Linked DNA regions of Mus musculus. The protein of the gene in region 1 interacts with the protein of each later gene in a pairwise test. Links are inferred from orthologs where the notes say so. Each region holds a gene or a part of one and is shown on either strand. Other genes may lie near its edges. The genes, in order: Sec22a, Tmem79, Erlin1, Sftpc, Dtx2 and Eda.

Region 1 (4,208 bases):
TTCATTTTTAAAGGTTCGGGTCAAATATCATTCTTCCTGAAGGATGCAGTCAGCACAGGGTAAAGTCACACTCTATCCTATTGCCCAGTCTTAAAGGATAAAACTGTAGGATAAAACTGTACTTAACATTTTCCATTACAATTTGCTTGCTACAATCTTGTGCATGTGAAAACTCTACTAAATAGTTATCGAGCAATTTACAGGAAGCACTATCTGAAAAACTTATATAAAGTCTTCTAAAGCCAGAATCCAATCCAGAGACTCTGCAAAGACAAAAGGTTAATAACATCATGACTACTATTTAAGGTAAGTTCAGAACATGAATGTTGACTTCAAGTTTCTCAGAGTCACTCAAACATGAGGTTTTCTTGCAACCATTTACATTTCATGAAAATGGCAACCTACAGGCAACTGACTCTAGCGAACCAAACTGAGGTCTTACTTAATGTTATAGCGCCCCGTTTTCAGTGTACATCTATCAGGAAATTGAGCAAGTTTCCTGGACAGCATCTTAAAGTACTTTCTGCACTCCTGCATTCCTGTGCTCTGCTCATAATCAGTGGATGCAGACAGCGGTAGTCCATCCCTCACACGAATGACTGAGGCAGACAAAATCATAGACATTTCAACCCACAGAAGACCTAAAATAAAATGAGAAATCTGAATTAAATAAAAATCAAGGCCAAAACTGGTAAGCATTTATACAACTTTCACAATTAGTAATAATCAGAGTATTAAGATAACAACACAATATATTCCAAGAACCTTCCAATTAACACATTTTTTAAAAATATGTAACTTATTTTATGTGTATGAGTGTCTGTCCACATGTATGTACGCGCACCATGTGCATGCCCGGTGCTCTTGGAGAACAGAGAGGAAGAACTTGATATGTTGGAACTAGAGTTGCAGATAGTTGTGAGCAGCTATGGGGGTACTAGAGTCTTCTGCAAGAGTAACTAAAGCTCTTAACCACTGAGCCATCTCTCCCACTACCAAACAAGCTTGTAAAAACAGCATTTGCAAGCTGGGAAGATGGCTGAATGGTAACACTTGTAGGGCAAGCCATCTGATGACGGGAGTTTGGCTTTCCAGAACACAAGAAAAATTGAGACGTGGTTATATGAGGAGATATCTATAATCCAGGGCTCCTACAGGTAGATGGGAATTGGAGACACAAAGAGTTCCCAGAAGCTCTGAGGACAGATCACCTGGTATATTGCAGTGAACAAGAGACCCTGTCTCAAACAAGGTGGGAAGGCAAGAACCAATACCTTAGGTTATCCTTTGACCTGCATACCTATGCTGTGGCACACATATGCTTCACCCCTACTGGTCAGTGTTCATAGTGCTACAAGTTGCTATGCAAGTGACTGGAGAAAGGCAGCCATCCATTTCACCCAACTACGAACCCTGCAAGCTCTAATAATGACCTGCCTACAGTGCCCAGAGGTACAATATGACAGAATATTATAGGAGTTACCTATCTTTTTTTTTTAATTGAATTTAAGATCCACTTCATACACCTCATTTGAACCTTCCGGGAACCGGTAAGGTTGGGTATTTGTTTCACTTTGCTTTGGAAGAAACACAGGTTCCAAAAGCTTAAGTCATTTGTTCAACCCCTAGTAAGTAATAAGTTGTTACTAACTCTAATAACTCTATAAGACACTGCCTCTAAACATACCCAGGCTTCGTTACTACATGGAGAGGAAGGTGGCAAGTATCTCTTTGCTAGTGTCTTTTCATACACCAAACTAAAATATACTTAAACTTTACCCAGTCTCTAAAAATCAAGTACTAAACTGATGTGATCTTCTTAAGTGGAAACGGCCGATCCTTTAGTAACTTTTGGTTACGGGTGTCAGGTTCAGCTCTCAAGTCTTCCTTTACACACTAGAAGTTCTAAGTATTGTTTAAGAAACCGACTTCTCACGGTACTGGCAAACGAGTGGGTACCAGTAACATGGAATGTGATTCCGTTTTTTAAAAAAATGGTGGTTGTACTAATCCGCTGGGATTCTATCACGTGTAGCCTGGCGGGACACCCAGGCTCTGCCCAGGGTTAAGCACAGGAGGGGCGGGTTCTGAAGAGTTCCACCTGCCCCCAGGTGATGGTGATCCCGGAAGCTAAGCAGCAGGAGACTCCCCACTTGTGGAGCCAATTTCTCAGGTCTCTTTTCTGCCACAGAGAGTCGCAAAGCACCTTTAAAACAGGGCCTCACGGGATTTCCCAGAGCCAACGAGTAAGATGTCCAACTGCAACGCCCATTCAGACTTCACAAATCACAGGGTACAAGCTACCCCGCCCAAAAGAAAGTAGGAATGCCACCTCAAGCTCTCTCGGGCCACCTACCAGCCCGAGTGAGTCGGTGTGCTGCTGACATCGGGAGCCAGGGAGTCAACACTACGGCTCGCTGGCAGCCCGGGACGGCCGTCCCTCCCCGTCAGCAGCCCCTACTCCAGCCGCCCATCCTAGGACAGGCCTGCTAAACAGCAACCGCCGCCCGCGAGGCTCGCAGCCCTAGGTCGCAGGGACTCGGACCCTGCACGCCCGTCCTCCTAAGCTCTGAGGCCACCGCCACCAAGCTCCGGCTCGGACAACTACCGGTCAAGCCGAGGTGGAACTCCGAGAGAGCGGCGCGAGCAGCCGGCCAGAGCTCCGGGAGACCCAGAGGAAGCTGAAAAGAGGGGCCGGGCCATACCTGTCGCTCCGGGACCCGCGGCTCGGAGTGACGTGCCACGCAGTGCATTGTGGGGCCGGGAGTGGCCTTCCAGCGGGGATGCCCGCGTCCAACGTGGCTGGCGCCGGCGGAGCTCGCACGGGCCTATCGGACGCCGTGGGAAGCATCCAAAGACCCGCCCCTTTCCGAGGCCCGCCCTATCCCCGCCTCCTCCGGCGGAGATTGGCAGGTTTTCCTGCACCTGCGCCAGGAGATTGCCTTCTCTTCTAAGAAGAGAATTATGCTGTCCTTCGGAAATAAGGCTAATCTCCTTCACCTGCTGCTTTGTGTCGGGAAGCAGTTTGTCTCTCGTGCGCCACTCGGGACAGAGGAAAAGCTCTCTCTGGTGAACAGGGAAAGGATCTTCTTCCATCAGGCACTACACAAAGAAACTTAGCAAAACAGAGAGAAAAGCCTCAGTAGCTCCTCCCAGCCTTCACGAGGTTAAGTATTATTAAACAAGGATATGCTGAATGTCAATTAAATGGTCGGCAGCATCTTAAGCATGTTTTACAGGAATGTCCACAGCACTCCTTTTAAGGTGTAATAGGAATAAAAGGCATTAAGGTAAATTGTTACAGAAATGTACATTTGACTGGTACTGTGAAGAAAAACTAATAGGTACATTGATGAATGAGTTGTGGACTGTCGGGGAAGAGCTCCATGATTACGTACCTTTTAAGGTCAAGGTATATTAAGGGACCCTTAAAAATGTTCTAGACCCTGGAAACATGATTTGTGAGCATTTAACTGTACTAGGAAGTCGTGATGGTTGGTTTCTGTCAACTCGACAGAAACCTTCACATAGCTAGAAGAAGGAATCTTGATAAACCCTCTGTAAAATTAGCCTAGTGGGCAAGTGTGTAGGATATTGCCTTGATTGACGATGATACAGGAGAGCCCCGCCCAATGTGGGCGGTCTTCACCCCAGTGCAGGTAGTTCTATGTTGTACCAGAAAGTAGGCTGAGCAAGCAATGGGGAGCAAGCTAGTAAGCAGCACTCCTCCATGACTTCTGCCTCACTTCCTGTCCAGATCCCTGCCTTGAGCTCCTGCCCTCACTTCTTTTCGTAGATGAAATAAATCCTTTCCACACCCAGTTGCCTTTGGTCACTATGGTTAATTTCATCAATAAAAAGCCTAAAGCAGAAAGTATGTAGGGGCAAGAAGTTTAGGCTGAGATGAGGCAAGGTCTAACTCTCTTTGGCTACTTTATACAGTTCAGACTTCAGCAACACACCCTAAGATCAATTCACAGAGCTAATAAAGATTCTTAAGTAGGATCTGATTTACATATTTTAAAGCTCATTTTGCTGTTTATGGAGATGGATGGATAGGGAGCAAGAAGGGTTACTGATGGGCCAGTTTGGAGGCAGTTGTATTGGTCAAGGCCACAAATGATGGTGGCTTAAACAAAGATAATGGCAGTAGAGGCAGAAAGAGATGGACAATTTCAAGATATTAATAAATCATAGGTGGAGTTCAT
Region 2 (4,152 bases), on another chromosome or scaffold:
AAAGATTTATTTATTTATTATATGTAACTACACTGTAGCTGTCTTCAGTCACTCCAAAAGAGGGCACCAGATCTCGTTAGGATGGTTGTGAGACACCATGTGGTTGCTGGGATTTGAACTCTGGACCTTCGGAAGAGCAGTCAGGTGCTCTTACCCACTGAGCCATCTCACCAGCCCCTCTTTCTTTCTCTCTCTCTCTCTCTCTCTCTCTCTCTCTCTCTCTCTCTCTCTCCCTCCCTCCCTCCCTCCCTCCCTCCCTCCCTCCCTCCCTTCCTTCTTTCCTTTCTTTTCTTTCTTTTTTTTTTTTTTTTTGATTGTTTGTTTCGAGACAGGGTTTCTCCGTGTAGCCCTGGCTGTCCTGGAACTCACTCTGTAGACCAGGCTGGCCTCGAACTAAGAAATCCGCCTGCCTCTGTCTCCCAAATTCTGGGATTAAAGGCGTGCACCACCACGCCCAGTTAGAGGCCAATTCTTAAAGCTATTTGGATGGAGAGTTTCAGAGTAAAGTAGCTTCAGTGAACACACTAAATGACAAATGAGGTTAGAGTACGCAAGGCAATGGATTCAACACTATACTAAAAAAAAGTCAAAAGCTCCCCATTGCCATGGCTCTGAGACCAACTGCTACCCAGTGTAGCTCAACAGACAGCAAGCTCATCACTGCCTGGTGCACATCCAGAAACACCCCACCCCGACTCCCATCCCCGACCTCAGGTTTGCAGACCTTCAGCTCCCTGGAGGATCTGGAATCATGTCTTCCTCATGCCTACCCCAGCCATGGCCACCCCAGCCCCCGCCCGACTCACCGAGATATGGCAAAGAGACCGGTGAGCAGCGGGAGCAGCTTGAGGGTGTCCTGGGGCAGATAGGTGGAAAGCACAGCCAGGTTAAAGAAGTAGAGGATGAAGAGCTGCACAGACTGGGCCACGTACTGCCGGTGGATCTCCACTTCCCGCCTCGGCTCGCCGAAGGGCCGAAGCGCAGAAAAGCACAATAGGCTCAGCCCGTACACAAGGAGCCCTATCAAGAGGGTAAGCACATGGGATCAGAAAAGGCAGGAAGGTTGGGATGGGTTTCCCAGAAGATAGCTCTTTGGGTCGGGGCTACAGAGTGGACACAAGAGCTCCCTGGAGGAGAGGACAGAGAGTGGCAGGTTCAGGATACCCTGAGTGGTTCCAGCAGAATGAAGAGAAACCACCCAGTCGAAAGCTCTGTAATCCACTTCCCAGGTAGCCCTTCTCCACGGGGCCAGACTCACCGAGTACGATGGGAAAGGTGGCAAAGACCCCACAGCGAAGGGTGTAAACCAAGCGGGAGCTCATGGTGGGCAGCCTCGGGGCATCGAAAGGCAGGAAGGCGTATGCTCCGTACAGCAGACAGGGGAAGAAGATGAGGGCCGCCACCACCGAGGCGACAGCTCTCAGTGCCTCACGACCTCCACAGCTTCCACAGCCCCCGCAGGACCGGCCAGGGGGTCTCACCACGGCCTCAGCCCACTTGCGCTCTGGGGGCTCAGGGTGGCTGAGTCGAGCTGGCAGGAAATTCCTGAGCTCGCCTGGTCCAGCGTCGCGATGCAGGATGCGCTCCTCCTGTGGCTTCCGCTCGATGCACTGTAGATCAATGGGCACGAAGGCCCTAACTGTCTTCTCGGGGAGCAGGTTGGCATCCTCTTTGAATGGCTCCTCCGACTTAGTAGGTGCCTCTGACTCTAGGGGCTCTGGTTCAATATCTCGCCAGCCCGGGGGATCCGGAAGTGGGGCGCTAGGATGGGGGTCAGTTCCCCAGGGTAAAGTGGCAGCCTCACTTATTGTGCTGTCTGGACCATCCTCAGGCCCCTCTCTGACTATAGGAGACCCTACTGAAGACCCCACTCTGAGCGACTCAGTTCCAGGGGACTCAGTCCCACCTTCTTCCTCTGACTGCAGGACTAAAGCCTGCGGTGGGCTCTTCTCTGGAGTCTCGGGTTCCTTCATGTCCAGCAGGGCCAGTGTCTCCGGTTCTGTCATTGTGAGGCTTCAGTTCCGAGGGCTACCACAGAACGATGTCATCCTATAGGCAGTGGGAGAAGTTCTGTGAGAATACCTAGTCTTCTGGCCCCAGGACAGTTTCTCAGACCTAGAACTCCCCAGAGAAGCTGGCCTCATGGGACTCTAGGGAGAACACTGTGGGGAGGAAGGTGTTGAAACAGAGAGGCGGGCGGGCAGCAGAGGAGCGAAATGGAGGATCCCTTTCAAAATAAATGTCATCCAGCAGGACAAGGGTGAGTCAGGGGGCACAAGCAGAGGCAGGTGTGGCCTGTCTATACCCACACCTGCCTTCTACTCTCTCCACTAAAACTCCCGGATTTTTGGCCACCCTGGCTTTGGAATGGGAGGCTGAGGTGTCTAGGACTAGGCGGAGTTTCTCTACAGCCAAGGGTCACCCTATAGATAGAGAAATTGGCCCTTCCCCCTTCCTTCCACCTGCCCTTTGACCTGCAGGTCCCTCCAGGAACTCGACACCAGATCTCGGTTCCTCAGTCTCCATTCCAGGAGTCGGTCATTTTCTGAACTCTCCCATTGCCAGTCTCACCCGATTCAGCTGGGCTGGGCTCCACTCAGACTCCCAGCTCTAGTGTGGCCGTTCCCAAGCCTTCCTCTTGTTTCCTCCCCTGCCACCCTCCAGCTCACAGCTTCTGGATTGGGCTCCCTTCGTTCACCTCTTGGGCCCCTCCTACCCCTGCCCTTTGGATCCATGATACCCTCTTACTTTCCATCTGCAAAGAGGCGGAGGATCTCCGGAAAGGAGCTGCCTAGCTCCTGGCTGGCTCTGCAAGTATTTCCCAGTTTCCCTCCCTTGCCTGTGTCTCCAAACCTGTCTGACCAGAGCGGGTGGGGCCCAGATTAAAGGCGCAGGCCCTGCCCTACAGAATCTGCCTACTGGAAGGACTCTACAGGAGGACGTCATCCTTTTTGAAAGTAAGGGTGCAGCTGGGCACAGAGGTGTGGACTTAATGTATTCTGGGATCTGTAAGAGCTTCCAGCTCAGGGAAGCATCAGGGTATAAAAGTGGGTTTGTGTATCAAAGGGTGCTCAGAGTAAATTGGCTAAAAGATGACACTGCAAGTTTGTTCATCCAGTAAATGTTTATTGGGTATCTATTATTAATGAGGCGCTATTTCTGTGGTGGTACAAGCCTTTAATCCCAGCACATGAGGCAGAGGCAGGCAGATTTCTGAGTCTGAAGCCAGGCTGGTCCAGCAGCCAGAGTTATGTAGAGACTCTCTCTCTCTCTCTCTCTCTCTCTCTCACACACACACACACACACACACACACACACACACTCCAACAAACAAAAAAAGTGCTAGTCTAGGCACATGTACAGAAAAGAACAAAGTGACAAGGTTTCTAGCTGTTCAGGTAACCAACATTAAAGTTCACACCAAATCAGTAGTAGAATTTCAGTAGTGAGAGCCTCTTTAGGGTGACTGAAGCTGAAACCCAGTGGAAGTTCCCTGTAGAGGAACAGCGCAGCCAACAGATGGAAAAAGACTTGAGGCAGTTTGAGGAATAGAAAGGAGACTTGGTGGCTGGAGCCAGGAGCATAGTGGTATATACATTGCCATTATAATGTGGAGAGAGAGAGAGAGAGAGAACCCCAAAGATCCGCCTTATAGTTAGGAAAACAATAGGGCTGACAAGATGGCTCACCAAGCCTGACTACCTGAGTCTGATTCCCCAGAGAACCACACTTTTAAAAGAAAACTGACTCTCCCAAGTTCTCTGGCCACGTGTATGTTGTATGCATGCACCCACAAAATATAAATAAATAACTCTCTCGGGAAGAATTCCTTTAAAAAACAAGCAACTTCAGGAGCCACCCCTCAGGCGCGCTGGGATTTTGGCAGCTGACTTGACCTTGTGCATGCCGATCTCCACAACCTCCGGATCTTAAAATCTTTTCGCTGCCCCTCTTCTGCAACGATGTCTGATTCAATGATAGCTGGCCCATTCGTTTTATTATTTTATGCACTTTGGCGTTTTGCCTCTAAACATGTCTGTATGAGGGTTTCGGACCCCCTGGAGCTGGAGTTTCAGATGGTTGTGAGCTGCCATGTGGGTAGTCACTTCTCCAGCACCTAGCTGTCCCATGGCGAGCTTTGCACTCTACGGT
Region 3 (3,500 bases), on another chromosome or scaffold:
AAGAGGCTCACGAAAGGCAAAGGAGTGGTTGAAGGAAGGAAGAAAGGTAAGAGCAATGAAATACACATGACATGGAAGAAGGGGGCATTATCTAGGAGGGAACCAGCTGGAGGAGACAGGACATACGGGGGATGGGAGTTCACAAAAATAAAGAATAATGACATGCGTGAAAATGACATAATAAAATCCATTACTCTATATGCTAACTTAAAAATTCTTAAGCAGTTTTTAAAGGCTTATATTTTTAAAAGACTCTGGGGTATCAGGGAAGGAGGCAACATTTACTAGGGTGGACTTTAGACAATTTACATACATTGGTGTTTAATTACCCCTCCTCCTAATTTTCTATCTCAGGAAACTAAGAACCAGAAACTTTCAGAAATATCCCCAAAGGTAACATACCAGTCTGCGTCAGAACCTGTGTTCTAACTATAAAACATGCTTTCTACATTCGTTTTCATATCCAAACATTTGCTCCACTGGCCTCCTACATAGGATATTAGATACAACCGGACTCTAAGTCATAGTTGATGAAACATTTGTTGATAAATAACTGCTAAATATATGATCTCATCAGCTTCCAAATAAGCCAGTGAGCTAAAACTCTCCTGCCTGTCTCCAGGGAGATTCGTCCACTTTCCTCTTTGTCAGTTCTGAATCATATCCATTCCAGTGGTTTGTGATCAGAGAACACAGTCAGTCACTTGTTGCTCTCTGTGGGAGCACTGCTTCCAAGATCCTCTGGAGAGCCTGCAGTCTACAAATGCCTAAGCCTCTTCTATTAAACTAAGTAGTATCTGCATGTAAACTGTATATACTCCTGTATACTTTATCATGTCTAGGTGATTATACGGTATCTAATATAGTTACTACACTGAACAGTTTGGGGAATGATGATGGGGGGGAGGGAAGTCCACATATGTTTAGTATAGAACCAGCTTTTCCCCTCAATGTTTGATGTGTGTTCGGTTGGACCTGTGGATGTACAATTCACAGATACGGAAGGCTGACTGTAGATGAGAAACCACGAGAAAAATAACAGTCAAAAAATATCATTCAAAGCCACTTGCCAATAATATACTTGCAACTCTTTACTCTGAAATCTTTCTCCTATCTGTGTCTGTACAAGTGATATGAACTTTAACATGACCCTGTACTTCAATGTACGTTTTCCCCTTTCTACCATGTCTTCTCAAGTACAATGAAAACACCTTGAAGGCGGAGGCTACCATCTTCACTTTTTTGACGTTCTTGAAAAACACAAGGCATGCCAATTTGTTAACAAGAATGAAGACCAGATATCTTCAAAATTTGCAATTAAGTTCTTATATGTTCACATGACACACACACACACACTCTCGGACCACAAATCAATCTCAGGTGTCATCTGTAGGTCTCTCACTAGTTAGGGTAGAGTGGCTGGCCTCTGCGCCTCAGGGACCTCCCTGACTCTGCCTCAGCACTGGGATATCAAGTGCATGCCAGTCTACTAAGCTCATGGGCACTCAGGACTGAATTCTGGTCCTCAAGCTTACACAACAAATGTTTTGCAGACTGAGCCATCTCTCTCCACAGCCAAACTTTTTTAAAATAACATGCATCCACTTTATCTCTGAGGTGTTCATCTTTTATTAAGAAAATGCTTCCGTGTACTACCAATTTTCAGACTGCTTTGCAAGTTATGGCAAATCACAACCAGAAAATGGCAAATGAGTGTGACCCAAGAAAATTGATCAATTATAGGTCTTCAGGATACAAAGAAATTCTTCCCCAACAAGCTGGATACAGTGCCATTTTCTTTTTCTAGAAACATTTGCTTTCAGAAATAGTAAATTCAGAGAGGACTGGCTCACTGGTTCCTGAAAACCAATTCTGTCCAGAACTTGTGACCTGCTTGTACCTCTATTTCCTGCAAATGAAAATCCTTGCATGATCATTCTTTTATAGTCATCAGAACTCACTGAGGGAGTAAAACTTTAAAAAGTATCTTCCTCTCCCTCCTCAGTTGTAAATGCCCTGGTTATAAGTATAGAATCACAGCAGATAGTTAAGATTACCTGCATAAGGAGCCAACATATTAACCACTTCTATTCGGTCAATATAGATCATGACTCCACCACTGAAAACAAACAAAAATGGAAAGTGTGAGTCAGAGCCACAATAAAAATAATAAAGTACAATAAAGAAGTTACAGACAGACCTAGGGAGAACTTGATAATCTAACTTAAAACGTAGGGAGAACTTGACTTAGAACATAAGAGAGCTTGGTCCCTTTTCAAATGTATCTGTCCTTCTATAGATGTCAAAGGTACCTTAGTAGGTTTGTAAAAGCAATACTTTACATCATTTAAACTAGGTAATGAATTAAAGCCTACCTCATCCTTATCAGTCCTCACTTGATACAATTAATACAGTAAGTATATTTTAGTGCTATACCAGCCTTGTTTCCTTTCTTGGCCTCAACCTTTTTAGGACAATTCTTAGAGGCCTCTAGACCGACAGTGTAATCAGGAACTTCATTAGAAACATAAATTCTATTAAAGACCTACTTATTGACTCAGAAACTCTCAGATGTCATTTAACATTATAAAGAGAAGAAGTGAAATGATTTTGTTTTAAGTAATCTTTTATCGAACATCAATTCAGATCCAAGTTCTGGGCCATATACACAAATTCTAATCCTTACAATAATTCTAACATAGGTCTTATTCCCAGACTTAAGAGAACTCAGCTTAGAGAAGCTAACCAAGGTATCAGAGGAGGGCAAAGGCTATGTGGAGCCTATACTTTCTGCTTCATTTTCCTGTCAATTAAAATAGCAACTCGGGTGTGATAATGCTAATATATAATTAGTCTGCTAGCTCTGAAACTCCATTTCAATAATACCCTCAGCTGGAATGCTCTCACTTGCAGCCTCATGAAAATAACTCATAGCACAGAAGTTTCTGTTGCTGTCATGTCTATATAGTAGTGTCATAGTCAGGCATGGTGACATATACCTATAATTTTAGGGTTTCAGGAAGCAGAGGCAGTAGGGTTATTCCAAGTTTGAAGCCAGCCTAGTCTACATACTAAGTCTTAGGCCAGCCAGGGCCACATAATAAGAGTCTGTATGATTCAAAAACAAAACAAAACAAAATGCAAACCAAGGTTTCTCAAGTGACTCCAGCTCTAAGAACTTCCTCGGTACTGTAGAAAGAAAAGAGCGATGGGCCACAAAGGAGGGAGCTTACCTTGTTCCACAAGGCACATTTTTAACTTCATCCGTTTGTAGTGTTGTCTGGAAAAAAAAATAGCTCATCAAAATTTATTTTTATTTATTTTTTTTAGTGTGTACTTCTTCTTTTTTTTTTTTTTGGTTTTTCAAGACAGGGTTTCTCTGTATAGCCCTGGCTGTCCTGGAACTCACTTTGTAGACCAGGCTGGCCTTGAACTCAGAAATCCACCTGCCTCTGCCTCCCGAGTGCTGGGATTAAAGGCGTGCACCACCACACCCGGCT
Region 4 (4,135 bases), on another chromosome or scaffold:
GTTGCCCAGGCACCCTGAAAGGTACTGTTGCTCACCTGTGGATGCTAGATATAGTAGAGTGGTAGCTCTCCACACAGGGTGCTCACAGCAAGGCCTAGGAAAGCCAGGTCTCTCCCGGAAGAATCGGACTCGGAACCAGTATCATGCCCTTCCTCCTGGCCCAGCTTAGAGGTGGGTGTGGAGGGCTTGGCCTGGAAAGAACACCTACTTTCAATGTCACCTGCTTTATTTAGTGTGGGACACTAAGTTGGTAATTCTCGAGGATCAGTTTCCTCACAAATTCAGAGAGGGACTGGGTTGGATGTAGAAGCCCATAGGTCATGTCTAAGCTCAGCCAAGGCCAACAACTTAGCAGGGCCACCTGAGAGCTGGTAGGGATGGCAGGACACAGGTCCATGGAGAGAGGAGAACATGTCTGATCCAGAAACATCAATACTACACAGGGTACGCTAGTCATCCTTTCACATGTCCCTCTACTCAACCCTCAGAGGGAGACTGCTCCCTCCCTCCCTAACATACCCACCTGGAAGTTCTGGAGTTTTCTAGCGAAAGCCTCAAGACTAGGGATGCTCTCTGGAGCCATCTTCATGATGTAGCAGTAGGTTCCTGGAGCTGGCTTATAGGCCGTCAGGAGCTAGGTATAAAACCCTGGAGGTCATTCACAAGGTCCCCTTGCCTTGCTTCCTCCCCAACCCTAGTTCTCAGCCAACCAACTTCCTTTAGATTGTCTTCAGAGGGTGGAGGGGCGCACTTGCGTCAGTGGTTCGAGCATCTGAGGTGAGGTAGCCAGGCACAGAATGGGGAGAGACCTCTAGAAATGCTACAACTGGCTAGTTCCAATAAAGTCCCGGTGGTCCCTCCGGCATCCTCACCCGCTGGTAGTCATACACAACGATGCCAGTGGAGCCGATGGAAAAGGTAGCGATGGTGTCTGCTCGCTCACTCGGGGCTAGGCGTTTCTGAGTTTCCGGTGCTCCGATGCTCATCTCAAGGACCTAGGGGAAGGGTGTTGGAATGCTGCCTGGTATTTCTCTTTCTTCCCTCAGCCTTTCGGTACCCATATCTACTCAGAATCCTCTATTCAAACGCTTTCCTGAGATCTCAGGAAGGCTAAACGTAAGAGGTGTCAGAGCAATCGATGGTTATCACACTAGGCCGGGGCCTGGGGGAGAGGATCTAGGCAGGATGGCTACCTCGTCTCTGTTTGTGTCACCCAAGATGTGCTCATACCTGTCCACTCCCTTCTCTTCCTCCCGAACAGCTGCCCATCCCCCCATAATCTCCCCCAACCCCCTGTCTGCTGTGCCTCTTTGCCCAACCCAGGCCCACTCACCATCTCAGTATGTTTTTGACTCATGTGGAGGCCCATGAGCAGAGCCCCTACAATCACCACGACAACGAGGACCACCACCACAACCACGATGAGAAGGCGTTTGAGGTGCACGGGACAGCAGGGGATGCGGAACTGGCTCCTGGGACCTGCCGAGTAATCCTGAGAGAGCAAGGGAAGCAGAGAGACAAGTGGGTAGTGGAGAGGGTGGCTCCTACTCTCCCTGTGCAAGGGGGACACACACATCCCGTACCTCTTTAGGCTACGAGTGTGCAAGGAAGAGCTGGGGAGATCAGAGGCTTTTGGGAAGGAAGGCTTTGGGGAAGGTGGTTGGACCCTAACAAAACCATAGCTACTTAGAAAGTTAGAAGCAAAGTCTAGGTTTGAAATAATCCAAGAGAGCCAGCTACCGATCTCTTCTTCTGTTTTCCCACGACGCCTAACACCCCAGACATATCCTGAGTTTTTGCTCCCTCAAAGGATCCAGGTAGCCCTGTCTCTATACCTTTACACGGGTCTCCTTTGTTCCTTCTCAATCCAGTCCATGTGCCAGCTTCATGGTTTTTTACACTTATTTAGTGTGTGAGCGTGTATACATGTGTGTGGTATGTTTGAGTGTGCATGTGTGTGATGTGTGTGAAGGTACATGTGTGTGTGTGTGTGTGCACATGTGTGTGGTGTGTGTGAGAGTGTGTGTATGTGGTGTGAGTGTGAATGTTTGTGTACATGTGTGTAGTATGTGTGAGTGTGTATGTACATGTGTGTGTGTAAGTCAGGGACAACTTTCATCTCCTTTCATCATGTGAATTCCAGAGATTAAACTCGAGCCGCCACATTTGGTGGCAAGCACCACTACCTACTGAGCCATCCTTTTTTTTTTTTTAAAGAAAAAAACCATATCTATGACCCAGGCTGCCTTTCAACTCCTTATATATCTAAGGATGACCCTGAATGATTATCTTGCTTATATTTCCAAACAGTGTGCACCTCTATGCCTGGATTATGTGGTACTGGGGACTGAACCCAGGTCTCCACGTTTGCAAAGTGCTCTAGCTACTGATCTACATCCCAGCCTCACTGTCATTTGCTCTGTGGTACTTCCTGTAGCCTCCCAACTACATGGTGGTGCTATCAGTGTTCTTCACAGGACTTTCTATTGACCCCTCTGTGGCTCTCAATCCCTTTATACAGGAATTCGTGGTCGTCGTGCCTGCCTCTACCAGGGACTCTTAATGATCACGGTATCTCTATCCTAAAAGCCCAATCCTAAGCTAATTGAGTATATGGGTCTAGAAAAAGAAAAAAAGCCTACTGGAGGATGGACAGTCAAGTCCAGTATACTATGTATGCGCGCGCGCACACACACACACACACACACAATCACACTCACCGGTGGACTCTCCATCAGGACCTCTTTGCTACTCATGTCCATTTTGTAAGGTTTCTCTCTCTCTCTCCTCTCCTCATCTCTCTGGTGTGACCAGTGTCTTATATATATCATCAGAGACAGAGAGGACAGGGGTGAAGGACTGGGCCTCCTGTCTGCCAGCCAAGTCCTTGGCTTTGTAGCTTGTTTGTTCCTGGCTTTTCAGAGCCCAGGCCCCGATAAGGCAGCTGCAAGAGCCCCCAAGGGCCCTTGGCCTAGGCACATGAATCCTCTTGGCCCCAACAAGAGCAAACCTGGGTGAGGTAAGCAAACTCACCCTCGGGCCACCTGCTCCTCTCACCGTGGGTGTCTTTCTGGCATGTCTGCCTCTCTTGCTGGCACCTGCCCCTGCAGCCCTGTGGCTTCTCTTCTTCTCACAGCCCAAACTGTTCAGGTGGCAGCCAAGAAATCTGGCCGTCCCTCGCCTCAAGATAACCTCCCCAGGCTCAGACACGAGTTCCACTCAGGGACTGAGAAAGTGGCGCTTGTTGATGGGGCTGGAGAGGAGGGTGGTGGAGGAACAGAGCTTGGGACAGCACCTGGGGTCCATTAGCATGGTTCCTTAGGGTCAGACTGCCCTTTACCCCACCTTCTCCCACACGTGCCATTCCTATCCTCAGATTTGCTCCTGTCTTCCTAACTCTGGAAACTGTCCCTACTGATGGGAAATTATTGCTCATGGGTGTTGAGTACCGTTTCACTCTTTGCTTTGGCGTTGTCTGTATGTTGGATGCTCTGATGGCTTACTCTATATACCCTTATCACCCTTTGCCTCCTGGTGCTGAGGATCACGCTTAGGATCATGAGCATGCTTGGGAAGCCCTCTACTGCTGAGCCACATCCCCAGCCCCTGACATTTTCTTAAGCCAAGATGACCTTGCCCAGGATTGAGTGTGGTCCCAGCCATCTCTGCCCCTCTACTGCCCTATCTACCCTTCTGTGCTCCTTTTTATAATAACTTCTAAAGGAACCCAATGTGATTTCACCAAATTCCATTCACTTTCATGACCTCCTCCTCTTCCTCCTTCTCCTCATTGCTGCCTTCTCTCTTTCCCCAAATCCTCTCCTGTGCTTCGGGGTACTAAGTCACATCTATCAGCGATCTGGGATTGCCTGTACCCTTTCAACTTGGGGTTGGATACATGCCTCCAATTCCCTTTTAAAGACTTATTTATGTTTATTTGATGTGGATGAGTGTTTTGCCTGCGTGTTTGTCTCTGTACCACCTGAATGTCTGGTGCCCTTGGAGGTCAGAAAAGGACATCAGATCCTCTGGAACTGGAGTTACAGAGCGTTTCCAACTTCCATACGGGTGCTGAGTGTCAAGCATGGGTCCTCTGGAAGAGCAGCCAGTGCTCCTAACCAGTGCTCATCTTTCC
Region 5 (3,500 bases), on another chromosome or scaffold:
TAAACATATATAGACAAACACACATACAAATACAGTCATGCATACAAAACACAAAAGCACACAGACATGTTGACATCATGGTCGTGCTGTGGTGTCACATGGTCACACACACATACCCACGGAAACATGGGTGTGGCCCTGTGCACTTAAAGTGTTAGCGTGTGGAACAGCAGGAGGGTTCTCATTTATGGGTCCTGCTCCTTCCCTACAGGCACCATGAGGTCTGTGCGCAGACACCTGTTCTCACAGAATTCTGCCCCAGGCCAGGGCATCGTCTGGGAGTGGCTGGGCGATGACGGATCCTGGGTAGCCTATGAAGCTAGAATCTGTGACTATCTGGAACAGCAAGTGGCCCGGGGCATCCAGGTCGTGGACTTGGCACCACTGGGGTATAACTATACTGTCAACTATGCCACCCTAACCCAAACCAACAAGACTTCCAGCTTCTGCCGGAGTGTGCGACGCCAAGTGGGGCCAGTTTACCCAGTGACTTCAGACATCGCTGTTCCACGCCAAATGGGACTTATCTGCTTTTGCCAACAGTGCCTCCATGGTAGCGGAACTGGCCCTGTGTCGGGCCGCTACCGCCACTCCATGACCAACCTGCCTGCATATCCTGCCCCCCAAGCACCCCACCGGACCACCACTGTCTCTGGGGCCCACCAGGCCTTTGCCCCATACAATAAACCTTCACTGTCTGGGGCCAGATCTGCACCAAGGTTGAACACCACCAACCCCTGGGCTGCAGCACCTCCTGTTGCAGGCAACCAGTCCCTGTTCCACTCCAGCCTCTCCCACCTGGGGCCTCAGCTCCTGCCCTCAGGACCGTCCACCTCCAGTGGAGCCAGGTACCTCCCAGTGCGGACTTTACTTCTACCCGTGTGGAAAGCCTCTCCCTCACCCTTGCAACTCCACGTTTGCCCCGTGTTGTCTTTTGCAAGTGCCACTTGTGTGCTGAGCCTCCTTGGTTTCCCACTTTGACGTCCCATGGAGCTACCATGCCATGGCACTTTGATTGTCAGCAGTCTTTTAATCTTTTTAACTTTTGTATATTTTTGATGATATGGTCTCATGTAGCTCAAGGTGGCCTCTAAATCCCCTGTATAGCTGAGGACAGTCTTGAACTTCTCTGATCCTCTCTCTTGTCTCTGCCTCTCCAGTGCTAGATGATCCAACCCAGGGCTTCGGCATCCAGGCAAGCACTTGACCACCAAGCACAGCCTCAACTCCGTTGTTGTTTTTTGTTTTTTGGTTTTTTGGTTTGTTTGTTTGTTTGTTTTTGTTTTTGTTTTTTTTTCAAAACAGGGTTTCTCTGTGTATCCCTGGCTGTCCTGGAACTCACTCTGTAGACCACACTGGCCTCGAACTCAGAAATCCACCTCCTCTGCCTCCCAAGTGCTGGGATTAAAGGCGTGTGCCATCACTGCCTGGCTGTTTTTTGTTTTTGTTTTTGTTTTTTTTAAAAACATACAAGTTCTGTCGGCCAGGCTGACCCAGAACTCAGTATGTCGCGGTGCCCTTGAATCTTCAACAGGCTTCCTGCCTCAGGCTCAGGGTTGGGATTAGAGGCCATTACCAGGACGCAACAGTCCTTTCTCAGGGTCCTAGGGTGCGGCAGACCTTTGCCTTGACTTATGTACTGCCTGAGGGGCTCTGTGCTCTGAGGATACTTTGCCTTGTGGCGGGCAGTGCAGATATGGGGGTGGAAACAGCAGCTCTAACCCTGAGCCCACAGTTAGTTCTGAGGAGCCCAGGGTAAGTGGGAAAGATGGAAGGCGTGGGATATAAAATGCCGAGAAAGGTGATGATATCCAAGGTCCATCCCAACCAGGCAGTACACTTTTAGTTCTGAGCGTCTGGGCTCTGCGCTTGCCCACTGGGTCTACATTGCACTGAGCCCCAGCTTTGCCTGCTGAACAGCTGAGGCTGGCCTGGACTTTGCTCTTTCTGTCTCAGTCTTCCAGGGGTTGGGGTTATAGCTTATGCCCTCATGCAAAGCCAGGTGGAGTTTTGCTGTTGTGGTTTGGTTTGATGGGTTTGTGTTTTGTTTTTAAGCGTGTGTGGTGGTTTGCCTGTACTGTGTGCACATGCTTGCCTGGTGCCGGGAGAGGATGTCACATCCCCTAGAACTGGAGTTGTGAGTCACCGTGTGGTCCTGGGAATTGAACCTGAATCCTCTGGAAGAGCAGCCATTGCTTTTAACTGTGAGCCATCTCTCCAGCCCCCAAGTCAGATTGTTTTTTTGTTTTTTGTTTCTTTTCCTTTTTGTTCAAGACAGGGTTTCTCTGTATAGCCCTGGCTGTCCTGGGACTCCGTTTTAGATGTTTTTTTTGTTTTTTGTTTCTCCCCGAGACAGGGTTTCTCTGTGTAGCCCTGGCTGTCCTTGGAACTCACTCTGTAGACCAGGCTGGCCTCAAACTCAGAAATCCGCCTGCCTCTGCCTCCCAAGAGCTAGGATTAAAGGCGTGCACCACCACGCCCCGGCTTTACCACCTTTGTGTGTGTGTGTGTGTGTGTGAGTGTGTGAGAGTGTGAGTGAGTGAGAGAGAGAGAGAATGCATGCCAGCAAGTACAGGTGCCACAGTGCCCCGTGTGAGCTAGTTCCTCCTACCATGCATGGCTCTGGGATTAAACTCGGGTTGTCAGGCTTGGCTGGAGTCTTCTCTACCCACTGAACCATCTCAGCTCTGACTAGTGTTTGCTATTGTTGTGTTTGTTTGTTTTTATTTTATTTTAAAATTTTGTTTTGTTTTTAGAAAAAGTCTCTCTGTTTATTTCAGGCTGGCCTGGAATTCTCCATCCTCTTTTCCTTCTCTGTTAGAGCACTAAGCAGTCACTCCATCATCCTCAGCACCACCACTAAAAAAAACCAAAAAAGGTGCTGGCACACACAGGCATTTTAGAAAACCCACCCGAACAATGCGAGCTACCCAGGGCTTTGATACCTTGGCAAGCTTTATTCTTTAAGCTTGTGACATGGGCAGGGATGGCCATCAGAGATGTCCACTTAGAGTCTGCAGATGAGGACCTGCAGGTTGGCTTAGCACTAGAATGACTTATCTAGAATCTTCCTTTCTTGGGGCATGACTCAGTGGCAGATCTTCTGCCTAGAATTCCCCAGTGAGAGTCTGGGTGTGGCTCAGTGGTATACACTCTGCCTAGCATGGTGCCTAGGTGCCCGCCAGCTCCCTAAAAAGAGAAGCAGTTAGTTGTGTGGGGCGCGTAGGCACTGGGGCTGGCCTGAGTGTGCGGAGGAGGGGCCTGCTGGCCAGGGGAGAGTTGAGGGCCTGGATCACTGGCCTCCAGGCGGCTGTCTCCAGAGTTGGGCATGCGTACGTCCTCTGGGACACGTGGGTCTGTCTCCCTGGGAACAGGGAGTCCAGATAGGCCTCACTGGGTCCTGTGCAGGCTTTACATGGACACAGGCCTGCAGGGCTCCCCGGGACGTCCCTCTCTCTCTTGCTACTTAGGCTTAGTGTGTGGGCCAGTCCTTCAGGGAA
Region 6 (3,500 bases), on another chromosome or scaffold:
AAATGAGTAAAATGGTCCAGGCAAGACTTGTGTTCCTTTAGCTAAAAGCACATCCTTAGGGCGAACCTTTCCAATTCATAGGTATCGGCAACGGCTGCCCGTGAAAACCTCAGACCCTCCAGTACGACATCAAATAAAGCCTCTGGGAATCTCATAGGCAAAGGACTTCAAGGTGACCCCAAGCCTGAGGCCATCCCTCCTCCCCAGGAAGACAGTAATCCCCAGCCAACCTGATTTTCCCGAGTTCCAGTTTTATCAGCAGCACCTGCAAAATAGGATGGGGCAGTCAGAGTGCTGTGCTCTTTTCTACTTCCCTTTCCCATTTCAGCAGCCAGGGCTCCAGAGCCTGGATTCCACAGCCAGCCCTGTAGGAATTTCCTTCTCCAGGCCTTACAGCTGGAGGGAGTCATAGTACAACATGGGGCTGTTGATGGGAGAGAGTATCCCCTCCTTCCCATTCCTGTCCCTACCGACCATCTTCTTCAGAGGGTCTAGATCCCAGCAGGGAAGTTGGCCTCTGGCCAATATTGGCTCAAGGCAAGCCCCATTGAGCACCCACAGAGAGGAAAGAGAGGCTATGTGTGTCATTGTATGTCCTTAAAACAATGGCACTTGCTTTTCTAGCTCTTTGTTCTCTTCTTACTGATTTCACAAGAGCCACTGTCATTTATAAAGATCTTGTTTCTTTAAGTGTGTCTCTTTGACTCTAGGAAATAAACTCTATGAGAACAGGGACCACTTAGCAATGTATCTCTTTGTACACAGAAATTGTTCAATTAATATTTGTGGAATGATTGGGTTTAAAAAAAAACTTTTATCTCTTGTGGCCATGGTAACACTGCTGAGCCTGTTTGAATTACAAGTGAAAGAATCTGAATCCTGCTGCTGAATTCTTAGACCTGGGGAAATTAAGTTTAAGAAAACCTCAAGATAGAGGAGGGGAGCAGGAGAAAAATGTAACAAGTAGCATGAGTTCAGGCCGTCTTCCTCCTGTCAACTCTAATTAGGTAGGATTGGATCTGCAGCTATACCTGTTGCATGCCCCACTGGGCGCTAGGAGAAAAAGGCAAAGGGATGGAATGGCATTTAAACGAGCAGCATGGTTATTTAAGGGTCTAGTGTGAGACACATTTGGCTTAGGGACAGGGTGGTCTTGGTGTCTGGTTTTGTTAGACACAGCTTGAGTGATTCATACATTTCTAACCACTCGACTAGAAGGGGCTATTTCTACACCACTAGGCAAGGAGTCTCAAAGTACATGGAAAGACATTATAATAGGGTTGTCATTTTGTCCAGTCCCCAACATTCCTCCCACAAACTATTTCCATGCAAATGTCATGTGGTACTCTATGCTGGAAATCAGAGTAAGCCAAATCTATATCTACAGGAACTCCAGTGAATGGCTGGGACCTCTTTCTCATACCTCTGTTTTTGGCTCATATGAGCTTATTGGCTCACTATATGAAGGACTAGAGCCAAAGATGGAATGGGATGGAAGGATTGGCATGGGGCAAGAACAGATGGCCTGTCTGGCGCAGCTTGAACTCAACAAGACTTAGAGCAGGCCAGACACTATCAGAGCTTGTTCACTTTCCACCTCTACACTAGACTAGGGATTTCTTACTGCACATTGCCACTGTTTGAAAATTCTCTGAAGATTATCTGTTTCTACTCTACAAAAGCAATGAAAAGTTTTCTAAGGGGTGGGAGACAGAAGAACTCACCAGAAGGTCCTTGGAGGCCAGGGGGTCCTTGAGGACCAGGAGGGCCAGGTGGGCCAGGTGGTCCCATAACAGTTGTTCCTGGAATCCCAGGAATTCCTGGAATCCCTGGAGGTCCCTGGGGTCCCGGAGGTCCTGGAGGTCCTGGGGGGCCGTTGGGCCCAGGTGGCCCTGCCTTCTTTCCTAAAACACAGGATTCAGTGTTATATTTGGAGTTAGTTACTGTCAAGACTGTATAGTCAGGAGTATAATTTCAGGGAGTTCTAGAGACTTCAATGACACCAAGTCAGCCATCTAGTTTTTGCTGAAGAGCTGGACATGCTTATAATCCCTTTTCTGCACCATATTTCCAAATAGATTAGAGGACACAGAAATAAACAGTTCTCAAGGAGCCCAGCATAGTAGGGAAAATGTTCTAAGATATTAAGAGTGCCACATTAATGAGGCAGACCAAATGCTGAAACAGGTCAGGCAAGACTTCAAAAAGGAGGTTCTGATCTGAGTCCAAAGGACTATTAGAAACTCAGACTTAGGGGTCACTTCATGATTCTTTTTAGAATTTGATTATCATTGGTAATACTATCATTGGCATCATTGGCAGGACTTCATTTAGCTGTTCAATTGCACAGACTTGCTACTATTAACCAAAGGATAGTGGAAGTCTGATCTCAGGAACACCATCAGCTCCAGGAAGATTTGTCAGGAGTCAGATGTGCAGGACATGGGGATGGATAGGGGCAGCACTGGCTGAAAAGAGGAGTGGGAAGGAGTTTTGGAAATGGAGGTGGAGAGATAGGGTGAGAGACTGAAGATATCAAGAAACAACAGAAAAGAAGGAATCACAGGCAGAGAGAGACACCTGACAGAGGCGGCAGGCTCTGCTTTCTCAGCTGACCTCTCTAAACTCTATTTTTAAAGATCACTGAGAACAGAAATTTTGCAAACTCTCTTGGTTACATGTTCCAGAGTTGATCACCCCTCACTGCTCACGGTTAGGAAGTTCTTTGGTATATTTAACTGTGGCCGTTTGAAATTTTATTCTATTTTTTGAGTAGCTAGAGAAGACTAGTTAGCACCATGTACATAAAACTTCATATGCTCAAAGATATTAGGTTACCTATCAATTTCTATCATTGCAGGCCAAACAATCCACCTTCCCCGAGATTTTCTTTAGAGGCTGTATTTTCAAATGCACTACTATTTATCCTGTCTACCAACCTTTCCTCCTTTCTCTCTCACTGTCTTTCCAGAACAATCTCAGCCCTCCCATTTCATATTCTAGTCCTTCTAACAGTTCCTCTAGGCTGTAGTCATGGTAAGTGGATCATAACTGTTCCTCCTATAGACTTGTTCTCTTTTGAGCAGACTAACCAAAGGACTATAGGTGGTCATGGGTAGGCTTCTTTCTCTAAGTTCTCCTGTCTTAGAATTTTAATGGGAGTCCCAGGATTGGAAATCTTTTACAATGTTCTCTCCTGAGACAGTTTCTCAATTTCAAATATAAATTTCTTTACCTTTTGTCTTAAGAGTTTCTACAGTAAACATCATGACCAAAAACAACGTAGGAAAGAAGGTGCGGTCTTGTTTGTTTTGTTTCCTTTTTGCTTATATACACTGAGTCACAGTCCTTTGAGGGAAGACAAAGTAGCAGCGCAAGGCAGGAACCTGGACGTAGGAACCGAAGCCGAGAATACAGAGGAAGACTTCTCACTGGCTTGCTCCCCATGGCTTGTTCAGCCTGCTTTCTTATACAACCACCTGCCCAGGGGGTGTCACTAT

Evidence for each region.
Region 2: the proteins of Sec22a (region 1) and Tmem79 interact in binary tests that used the Homo sapiens proteins (3 or more experiments, as listed by UniProt). The two-hybrid records come from large-scale screens. The link is inferred for Mus musculus from reciprocal best matches to the Homo sapiens genes SEC22A and TMEM79.
Region 3: the proteins of Sec22a (region 1) and Erlin1 interact in binary tests that used the Homo sapiens proteins (3 or more experiments, as listed by UniProt). The two-hybrid records come from large-scale screens. The link is inferred for Mus musculus from reciprocal best matches to the Homo sapiens genes SEC22A and ERLIN1.
Region 4: the proteins of Sec22a (region 1) and Sftpc interact in binary tests that used the Homo sapiens proteins (3 or more experiments, as listed by UniProt). The two-hybrid records come from large-scale screens. The link is inferred for Mus musculus from reciprocal best matches to the Homo sapiens genes SEC22A and SFTPC.
Region 5: the proteins of Sec22a (region 1) and Dtx2 interact in binary tests that used the Homo sapiens proteins (3 or more experiments, as listed by UniProt). The two-hybrid records come from large-scale screens. The link is inferred for Mus musculus from reciprocal best matches to the Homo sapiens genes SEC22A and DTX2.
Region 6: the proteins of Sec22a (region 1) and Eda interact in binary tests that used the Homo sapiens proteins (3 or more experiments, as listed by UniProt). The two-hybrid records come from large-scale screens. The link is inferred for Mus musculus from reciprocal best matches to the Homo sapiens genes SEC22A and EDA.

Annotation. Positions count from the first base shown.
Region 1 is NC_000082.6:35,361,119-35,365,326, forward strand, and holds the start of Sec22a (vesicle-trafficking protein SEC22a), read right to left. Parts: upstream 2,801-4,208; 5' UTR 2,706-2,800; exon of another isoform or gene 2,388-2,705; coding exon of another isoform or gene 2,357-2,387; intron 642-2,356; coding exon of another isoform or gene 625-641; coding exon 443-624; intron 1-442. UniProt on the Homo sapiens protein: May be involved in vesicle transport between the ER and the Golgi complex.
Region 2 is NC_000069.6:88,331,634-88,335,785, forward strand, and holds the start of Tmem79 (transmembrane protein 79), read right to left. Parts: upstream 2,801-4,152; 5' UTR 2,749-2,800; intron 2,697-2,748; exon of another isoform or gene 2,475-2,696; intron 2,050-2,474; 5' UTR 2,007-2,049; coding exon 1,259-2,006; intron 1,021-1,258; coding exon 807-1,020; intron 1-806.
Region 3 is NC_000085.6:44,059,786-44,063,285, forward strand, and holds part of Erlin1 (erlin-1), read right to left. Parts: intron 3,281-3,500; coding exon 3,234-3,280; intron 2,120-3,233; coding exon 2,058-2,119; intron 1-2,057. UniProt on the Homo sapiens protein: Component of the ERLIN1/ERLIN2 complex which mediates the endoplasmic reticulum-associated degradation (ERAD) of inositol 1,4,5-trisphosphate receptors (IP3Rs).
Region 4 is NC_000080.6:70,521,282-70,525,416, forward strand, and holds the start of Sftpc (pulmonary surfactant-associated protein C), read right to left. Parts: upstream 2,801-4,135; 5' UTR 2,763-2,800; coding exon 2,721-2,762; intron 1,493-2,720; coding exon 1,334-1,492; intron 996-1,333; coding exon 873-995; intron 635-872; coding exon 524-634; intron 192-523; coding exon 45-191; 3' UTR 36-44; intron 1-35. UniProt on the Homo sapiens protein: Pulmonary surfactant associated proteins promote alveolar stability by lowering the surface tension at the air-liquid interface in the peripheral air spaces.
Region 5 is NC_000071.6:136,011,800-136,015,299, forward strand, and holds part of Dtx2 (probable E3 ubiquitin-protein ligase DTX2), read left to right. Parts: intron 1-211; coding exon 212-848; intron 849-2,805; exon of another isoform or gene 2,806-3,500. UniProt on the Homo sapiens protein: Regulator of Notch signaling, a signaling pathway involved in cell-cell communications that regulates a broad spectrum of cell-fate determinations.
Region 6 is NC_000086.7:100,388,106-100,391,605, reverse strand, and holds part of Eda (ectodysplasin-A), read right to left. Parts: intron 1,905-3,500; coding exon 1,725-1,904; intron 266-1,724; coding exon 231-265; intron 1-230. UniProt on the Homo sapiens protein: Cytokine which is involved in epithelial-mesenchymal signaling during morphogenesis of ectodermal organs. Functions as a ligand activating the DEATH-domain containing receptors EDAR and EDA2R. May also play a role in cell adhesion.